Caenorhabditis elegans: one gene and its partner. The protein of the gene in region 2 purifies or fractionates together with the protein of the main gene of each other region. This does not show direct contact. Each region holds a gene or a part of one and is shown on either strand. Other genes may lie near its edges.

Region 1 (3,016 bases), on a different chromosome or scaffold from region 2:
ATTGTATCAAAAAATTAGGCCCCAAAGGAGCCTTGCAGAACAAAAAAGAAATACATGCAACTTTTCTACAGTAATTTATTTGTCATTTGATATTGTATACTTTTGATTTCGTGCCTTCGAGCCAAACTTGTTTGTCACATTACATAAGAAGAATATGTTCTCCCGCAGTCTTTCATATCAAATTCAGAAAACCAAGTCCGTTATCAATCGAAATCACACCTCGTCTCTGCAAAAAAAAATAGCTGAATATTTATGACCGAAAAAAAAAACAAACTCACGAGATCCCTTTTTATCTGCGAAACCGTCTCCTTAGGGCCGTCAAAAATGTCCAGACCACTCAGAGAAATCAAGGTAGATCATGCTTTCATAATCGTCTTTTTTCATCGGACGCTCTCCTTTTGCCACATCAATTGAACTGAAAGCTTCTTGATGCAGAAAATGGTGGAATGTATTTGGCAAGGGGTGAACAGTGGCAGTATCAAATGCTCCGATTTTAACGCGTGTCAACTGCAACAAAAATGACTGTGAAACTATACTGAACTTGGGTGAACAAACATTTGTATCAAAAAACAAAGACGATGGTGCCAAGTTGTTATGCGTAACGCCCAGTTGATGAATATGATGAAGACCTTTGAGCATAACGCACCCGATGGCCAGACGTTACCGGAGCTAAGCTTCTTGACGTTATACTCCTCCATATAAGTTTCCATCGAGAGCATTTCATCAGAAACTGAAAATGGAATATTATTTGGAAAGAAGTGACATCGAAAATCGTACCAATCACGTAGTAATCTCCAAATGAGAAGCGTTCATTGAACTGTGTACAATGACGGAAGCCGGTCAGAAGTTGTCCGCATAGAACCTTCTTCTCTGCAGCTACACGGGAAATTTCGTTGTTCGTCGGATACAGTTGAAGAGAGAATGCGCCACCGCCGTCGACTTTTTCCGACACTGTCTCTACACCGAATTTTCCAAGATACACCTTATCGCAGATAAAATAGTCTCTAACAACATCGCCGGTCTTGATGACCGATCTGAAATAAAAAATTCAGTTTCGGTTCATCCATGAATTGTTTCATGGATCAAGAACACCTGGTTCCACAAGTCATTCTCACATGACTGCAAAAAATTACGAACATTGGAGATCCGATGGATGGCAGTTTTGGAGCACAGAGAGCAGACGTGTTGTAGAGCATAGATGGTAAGGGATGACAACGGCAGAAGCAACAACCAGAAGTTTGAATGACAAGGATAAGTGATTTGAATACGGATTTCTTCGGTTTATATATGCAAAAATTTGAACTTTATCTTTGTTTCTGATCTGTTTGTCCTTGTTTTTCTGTTTTTTGAAACAAGTTTTTGTTTTTCGAAACAATTTTTTTGTTTTTTGAGACAGTTTTTTGTATGTTTTTTTGGCATCCACAATTGTTTCTGAATCTTGAGAAATAGGCATAATCAGGCCCGTAAATGTTGAATTTCCAGTTGTCTAGTCAATATATAGGTCAAAAAATTGAATTTTTATACGTCCATACAAAGGTCTAAAACTTGAGGGGTAGGCACAATCAGGCATGCAAAATTTATATTTTAGGTTTTCACATCTAAATATAGGTCACAGAAAAAACTTTTTTGTACGCCCATACAGTGTTCTGAAACTTAAGGAGTATACATACTCCGGCACGTAAAATTTTATTTTTATGTCATCACGTCGAAATGTAGGTCACAGAAAAAACTTTTTTGTACGTAAATTCAAAGGTCTGAAACTTGAGGGGTAGGTACAATCAGACATCGTAAAATTTATTTTTTAGGTTTTCACGTCAAAATATAGGTCACAGAAAAAAAAATTTTGTACGTTAAGCTACAGTTCTGAAACTTGAGGGGTAGGTACAATCAGGCATGCGAAATTTATTTTTTTGGCTTTCACGTCAAAATATAGGTCAGCAAAAAAAATGTTTCATACGTGAAGCTACAGTTCTGAAACTTAAGGGTTGTACACAATAAGACACGTGAAAATTAATTTAAAGGTTTTCACGTCAATATACAGGTCACAAAAACCTGTTTCACACGTCCATACTAGGGCTGTCATCTTTGTGAAAGCCAAGAAACAGTATTTTGCTTTATAGTTTTAAAACCGCTGATAGTATCAAAATGAAGTTAATTCTATATGGACGTAGAAAAAAAGTTTTTCTGTGACCTATATTTTGACGTGAAAACCTAAAAAAATAAATTTTACGTGTCTGATTGTACCTACTCCTCAAGTTTCAAAACTGTAGCTTAACGTACAAAAAAGTTTTTTCTGTGATCTATATTTTGACGTGAAAACCTAAAAAACAAATTTTACGTGTCGGATTGTACCTATTCCTCAAGTTTCAGACCTCTGTATTCACGTACAAAAAAGTTTTTTCTGTGATCTATATTTTGACGTGAAAACCTAAAAAATAAATTTTGCATGAGTGATTATACCTACCCCTCAAGTTTCGGACCTTTGTATGGACGTATAAAAAATTCAATTTTTTGACCTATATATTGACTTGAAAGCTCGAAATTTAACATTTACGGGTCTGACTATGCCTCCTCCTCAAGTTGCAGAAACAACTGTGGATGCCGAAAAAACATTCAAAAACAGTCTCAAAAAATAAAAACATGTTTCAAAAAACAAAAACCTGTTTAAAAAAACGAAAATCTGTTTCGAAAAAATTGTTTCGAAAAACAAAAACCTGTTTCAAAAAACAGAAAAACAAGGACAAACAGATCAGAAACAAAGATAAAGTTCAAATTTGTGCATATAAAAGTCGGAGAAATTGGTATTCAAATCACTTATCGTTTTCAAGCGATTATTCAACTTCTGATTGTGCTCATCACATTTTTACTGCTCATCGTAATGTACATGAATCGTGCTCCATGTGGTCCTCGCCTGCCAACTCCAGCTTCTCTTGGGTTTGAATTTTCGAGCCTTAGATCCATGAAACAATCGGTGTAATCAATATCATTCTTTTATCATTGATAGACTGATTGGTTT
Region 2 (5,751 bases):
AAAAAAAAAGGATTTATTTCAGGTAAAAAGTAGTACCCTCAACTCAGAGAAATGATCGAAAAATTAGTATTGTATTACAAGCGATAATTAACACAACTTATGGTACTTGTGTATTACATGCCCTGATTTTTAAATTAAATTTAATGTTCATTAATTTCTCCATTTGAATTAAACGTGATATACATTTTCTCTTTTTAGGCTTAGAAATTGGTAATTCCTAAGCCTAAAAATGCAAAAGTGTGGTTCACGTTTTTATTTCGCATAACTTAAAAAATTACTACTAAAATGAGGGCATGTAATACACAAGTACCCAACTTTTTTTTAGACTTTGAATGTTCTGCGCTTTTGGTTAATAAGAACCAATATGGAAGCTACAATAGTCGTCTTTATTTACATTGTTATTTACAGGAGGTGCGGTCCACGGCTGGTACAGAATATTGTGCTTTCTCCTTATATGTTATGTTAAGTACAAACTTTTTTGAATTGAGTGGTGGTTACCAAAAAAAAAATTATATTTTTGTCAGAAACACGGAAAACAATTTTTATCAATTTTCATCATTGTCATCGCATCTGTTGCCATTTTCTCCTCTTTTTAACTCATTTATTACTTTCCCTATCAATTTTTCCGCTGGCTATTTTCTATAAAATGTATCTACATTATTATGATTTTTTAATTTTGAAAAAAAAATATTTTTAAATTCCCGTGCAAATGAGTGACGTCATTTTCGACATTTTTTTGGTGTATATTAATGAAAAATAATTTGTTACATTTTCAGATTTTTTTTGCATTAAAAATAGTTGAAATTAATTTTGAATAGTCGATTTTTGGCCCAAATTCAGAGTTTCGTTAAATTTATTTCCCATTGCCAAGTGTTCTCAACGGAATGATGCCTCAAAAATTGACAAACTGTGTTTCAAATTATAAGCCGGAAAACGAAAATATGTCAAAAGTGACGTCACTCATTTGCGAGGTAATTCAAAAATAATTTGGCCCATTCTTTAAATTATGCAAAATTAAAAAAAATGTTATCAATTTTTTATGGTCATATTTGGCCAAAAGGGTCTATTTTGCTGCAACATTTCCATTTGTTCTCTTATCAGCACTCTCTCTTTTCTCAGATGTCAATAGTTGTCGCCTGTCTTTTCTCTCTAAGTTTCTCTTTTGAGTTTGGTTTTTTTCCTCCTTTTTTTAATTGCGATGTCATGTTCATATATTTTTGCTTCATACAAAATATTGTGTTTTCTCCTTAAATATTATGCTAAAGGTGGAGTAGCGCCAGTGGGGAAATCGTCAAAAAACCACTCCTTTGATCCCAAAATGACCAAATATCATGATAAAACTTTTCAAAAAAATTTTGAAAATTTTTATTTACTGTCAAAAAGTGGCAATTACTCAGTTTTTGCCACTCATGATTTTGGAAGTCGACCAAAAAAAAATTTTCTTCGACATTTTTTATGTTTTAATTTTGTTCAAATTGTTTGTATTAAAACATTGTAGGGGTCGAAACATGCGATGTTCCTTTAAATTTTCCCAAAAGCTCGTATTTTTCAAAAAATTTTTTGAGTGTTCTACATATTATGAGCTGGCGCTACTTTTTGAACTTTTTGATGGTATTCATCCAAAAAAAAAATTATATTTGAGGTTTTGAATTTTAAAACTGGAACATATGTTTGTGAAATTCAAGCTTATCAAAGAAGTCTGTTGATAATTATTACTTTTTCTTTATCTCCACCAACTTCCAATAATAGAGCTCTCCATTTAAGAATTTCAGCACTGTCAAATGTTTCCGAGCACGTCTCACCGATTCATTGATGCTGGCACATCTGGAAATGCCCAACGAAATAACAAAGAAGGATCTTCACATAAATTACCCAGTCTTGAAAGTTGGTTTGGAAAGAAAACAACATCAGAAGCCACAGCCCAGAACCAAATTGTTGGAGATAATCCACAGAACAATTCGGTTGGGAACTACTTCAATCAGAATTTAAACGAGGATCATCATGATCACCAGTTTGCGCAGCAGGTTCGTGAACTTATTATCTTTATAGATAAAAAACAGTTAGTCTGTCCGGAGCTTGTAGTATATGTAGTCTTTTTAGTCTGTGACGTCACACCCAACTTCACCAAGAGTTGACCCACAAGTTTTGGCGGGAATTCGAATTTTCTGTGAAAAATTTTGGCGGGAATTTAAATTAAAAAAAAAAAATTTCTGAAAAAACTTTTTTCGGGAAATTCGAATTTTCTTCGAAAATAATTTTGGCGGAAATTCAAATTTTCTGAGAAAAATTGTGGCGGAAATTTAAATTTTTGTGTGAAAATTTGTGGCGGGAAATCAAATTTTTTGTGAAACAATTTAGCGGAAAATAAAATTTTCTAGGAAAATGTTTGGCGGAAATTCAAATTTTCTTTGAAAAATTTTGGCGGGAATTCAAATTTTCCGAGAAAAATTTTGGCGGAAATTCAAATTTTCTGAGAAAAATTGTGGCGGAAATTTAAATTTTTGTGTGAAAATTTGTGGCGGGAAATCAAATTTTTTGTGAAACAAATTGGCGGGAGGTCAAATTGTAAGAGAATCATTTTGGCGGAAATTCAAATTTTCTGTGAAAAATTTTTTCTGGGAATTCAAATTTTCTTTGAAAAACTTTGGCGGGAATTCAAATTTTCCGAGAAAAATTTTGGCGGAAATTCAAATTTTCTGAGAAAAATTTTGGCGGAAATTCAAATTTTCGGTGAAAAATTTTGGCGGGAATTCAAATTTGTTTTGAAAAATTGTGGCGAACATTCAAATTTTTGCATGATGTCTACGAAGCTGTGGTGTGGTGCGGGCGGGCGGGAGTAGCGTCCTCGTGGAAGACCTACTTACGACGTTTGATATGTATTGGGAACTTTAGGCATTTAACTGCGAAAGTTTGAACAATTCTTGTTCAAGATCTAACAAAACGTGTTAACCCTAATCCCTCAATACACATTTTTTCAGAATCCTGACAATGCTCTTGACAATTCACAAACTTGGCACAATCTGGACAGAATACATCAAAATTTTCAAACAATGGACATGCAACCATATCAAGAGTATCAGGACAATAATGAGTCGGGCTGGGTGGATTTGAATAACGGTACGCTACTATTGCCCTGGCTACTCGTGTATGTTCTCGTTATTCAGACAACCAATTCCAACAACCCGACAACAACGACCCAAATGCAAATGACCTGAACTTATGGAATATGGAAACTGGTCCGGGGCAAGTCTTTGAAGCGCCAGTGCTGCCAGCTATACCATGGAACAATGACGACAATTTCAATGGTAAGAATTAACATTTAAAATCTGGTTTCCAAAAAACCCTAACTTTACAGACAATTTTACCGAGGACGACGCGATTTCACAGATCTCATTTGATAGTGAAATCAAGAGTGAAACTGATTCAATGGTAAGTTTTAACTCGCATTTTATACCTCAGGGAGATTAAATTGTGATTGGAGTTCCTTCCATGTCCATATAACTTTTTACGTACTACAATACTATTTAAAACGTTTCAGGTTTCAAGAAAACGAAAAAGAAACAGAGAAGATGCACAGAATTCTTACGACAAGAAGAAACGTATCCGGGATGAGAACGAAACGTTTTTCAAATCACAGAAGCTCACCCATGAAAACCTTCTAAACCAGAATATCTTGAATGAAGCACATTTCCGAACAGCGGTCAAGCTTGTCCTTCGTCCCTGCTTCTCAAATCTTCGCATCATCAAAGTTTACTACACCAATTGTAGTTCAGAGCAAGTTTTTCGGTGCCTAGCAGATTTTGAACGTGATAAAGCAGATATCATCACTGAAAAGGATAACTTGAAGAGACGTGATATGAATCTGGCGAAGCTGAAAACAAGAATGGATGAAACTGAAAAAGTATATGACGATGCTCAGGCTGATCTTGACAACAAAAAGGTGAGTAGATGAGAAATCTATGAAAACATTTGCATTATTTAGATTTTCAGGTTGGAATTCCCCCAGGTACTTTAGCAAGCGGTTGTTTTCGAGCAAAACAGAAATATGAGACGGTGGCTTTTGAACACGGAGCAGGTGAACTGCAATATGTAAGTGAATTTATTGATAAATTGGCAATTTCATTTCAATGGAAAATGTAACGGTTTAGGGTTTCTTCTTAATTAATCAGATAAACTCAAATTGTCTCCATTAGGTTAAATTTAATCATGTGGATTTTAAAACAGGTTTCTGAAAATATTTTAAAGCTGACAGAAAATAGACCCTGATAACCGAATATAACTGTACAAAAGTTCGACAAATTGAGCTGGAAAACGCGAAAATCTCAAAAATGACGTCACTCATTTGCGCGGAACTTAACTTTAATAGAGCTGTTTTTTTTTTTGAAAAATTTTGAAAAATCATAAAATTTTAAAAAATTAAATTTTTTTAACAGCTATATTCGGTTATCATGGTCGATTTTCTGGCATTTAAACCAAAAAAAAAAAGTGTTTTTTCTAACACGCTTTTTTTTCAGGAGTTTTCAAAACAATATCGAATTGCGTCGCGTCTGACTGCATACGGTGGTTGGTTTTATCCGGATGCTCGAAATCTGTTACAACACAATTGGCAGTTTTTATGTGATAACGCAGGACCTGATATTGAACAGTTGAAGGAATTGGCAACATTTCTGGTTACACGATAAGCATCAAATGTATTGATAATCCTCTCACCTTTTCCGATTTTTCAAAAGATTTTTCAAATTTTCAAAAATTAGCTTAATAATTTGGTCATTATTCTTCTTCTTAGAAGAAATTTTAATGTTTTTTCTTATCAATATAAACAAAATTAGATAAAAATTCATATTTTATGATTATTTTTCGATTTTTCGATTTTCAAAACTTCAGAAATCGAAAAAAAAACGATAAATCGGAAAATCGAAAAAATTTGTCCTGTTCACCATCCACAACATATCTTCTCTTAAACTCAAACTTTCATGATACTCGCCTTTTTCTTTTTGTACATCAGCATCATCACTGCAAACTAATTTGTTTCATATATGTATATATATAGATCTATTGTATGTTTATTTAAATTAGACATTTGGTTATAGCATTCTGGTCAGTAAAATGCATTTCACGAATATACCCGGAGTAAGGTTGTTGGTCGGATTTGTCTGGTTGTAGATACCCGTGAGGTTCAGTGAAATCAATATTATACATGTGTTGGTTATATGAAATGAATTTAAAAAAATATGTATTCAAGTTGGCATAACAGCTGGAAGCCGTGTAATTTTTCAGCTGTCGAAAACTTTGGGTATAAAATTTCAGAAAGAAAAAATAAAAAAAATAAACGTCGTTTAATTTTCAGAGCATACATATTTAATTCTGTCATATCAAATGAAAATCATCGAGAAAAATTTTAAATCAATGTTAACATTTTTTTCAAACTTTAGTTATAAAGAAAAATTTAAAGAATTTATCCGCTCTGTGAATGCACATGTACGGAAATTTGTCGGCGATTTCTGAAATTTTATCCCAATTAGCATAATTTGTATAAAACTAGTATGTATTAGTTTAAAATGCAATCAATTTTGATGGCTATCACAGCCAAACAAATAAAAAAAATTTCAGGACCTTACCTCTTAAAGCTTTTCTCCAAAAACCTGCGATACGGCGGTGAGAATATGAGCAACGATATAATATTAGTAGATGAATGACATGAGAACACAACTAACATCAGTTCAGCTATCAATTGTGAGTGCTCCAATCTAA

The links. Proteins that work in one complex are often made in the same cells at the same time.
Region 1: the proteins of Y60A3A.25 (region 2) and R193.1 fractionate together in Caenorhabditis elegans (co-fractionation; one large-scale study listed by BioGRID). This does not show direct contact.

The regions. Positions count from the first base shown.
Region 1 is NC_003284.9:1,153,128-1,156,143, reverse strand, and holds R193.1 (uncharacterized protein), read right to left. Parts: upstream 1,197-3,016; coding exon 1,138-1,196; intron 1,035-1,137; coding exon 778-1,034; intron 731-777; coding exon 556-730; intron 508-555; coding exon 504-507; downstream 1-503.
Region 2 is NC_003283.11:19,990,209-19,995,959, reverse strand, and holds Y60A3A.25 (BZIP domain-containing protein), read left to right. Parts: upstream 1-1,766; 5' UTR 1,767-1,781; coding exon 1,782-2,024; intron 2,025-2,978; coding exon 2,979-3,117; intron 3,118-3,164; coding exon 3,165-3,305; intron 3,306-3,355; coding exon 3,356-3,429; intron 3,430-3,538; coding exon 3,539-3,940; intron 3,941-3,990; coding exon 3,991-4,089; intron 4,090-4,514; coding exon 4,515-4,682; 3' UTR 4,683-5,227; downstream 5,228-5,751. Other genes in the region: sri-67 (G protein-coupled receptor), read right to left, coding at 5,456-5,501, 5,619-5,751.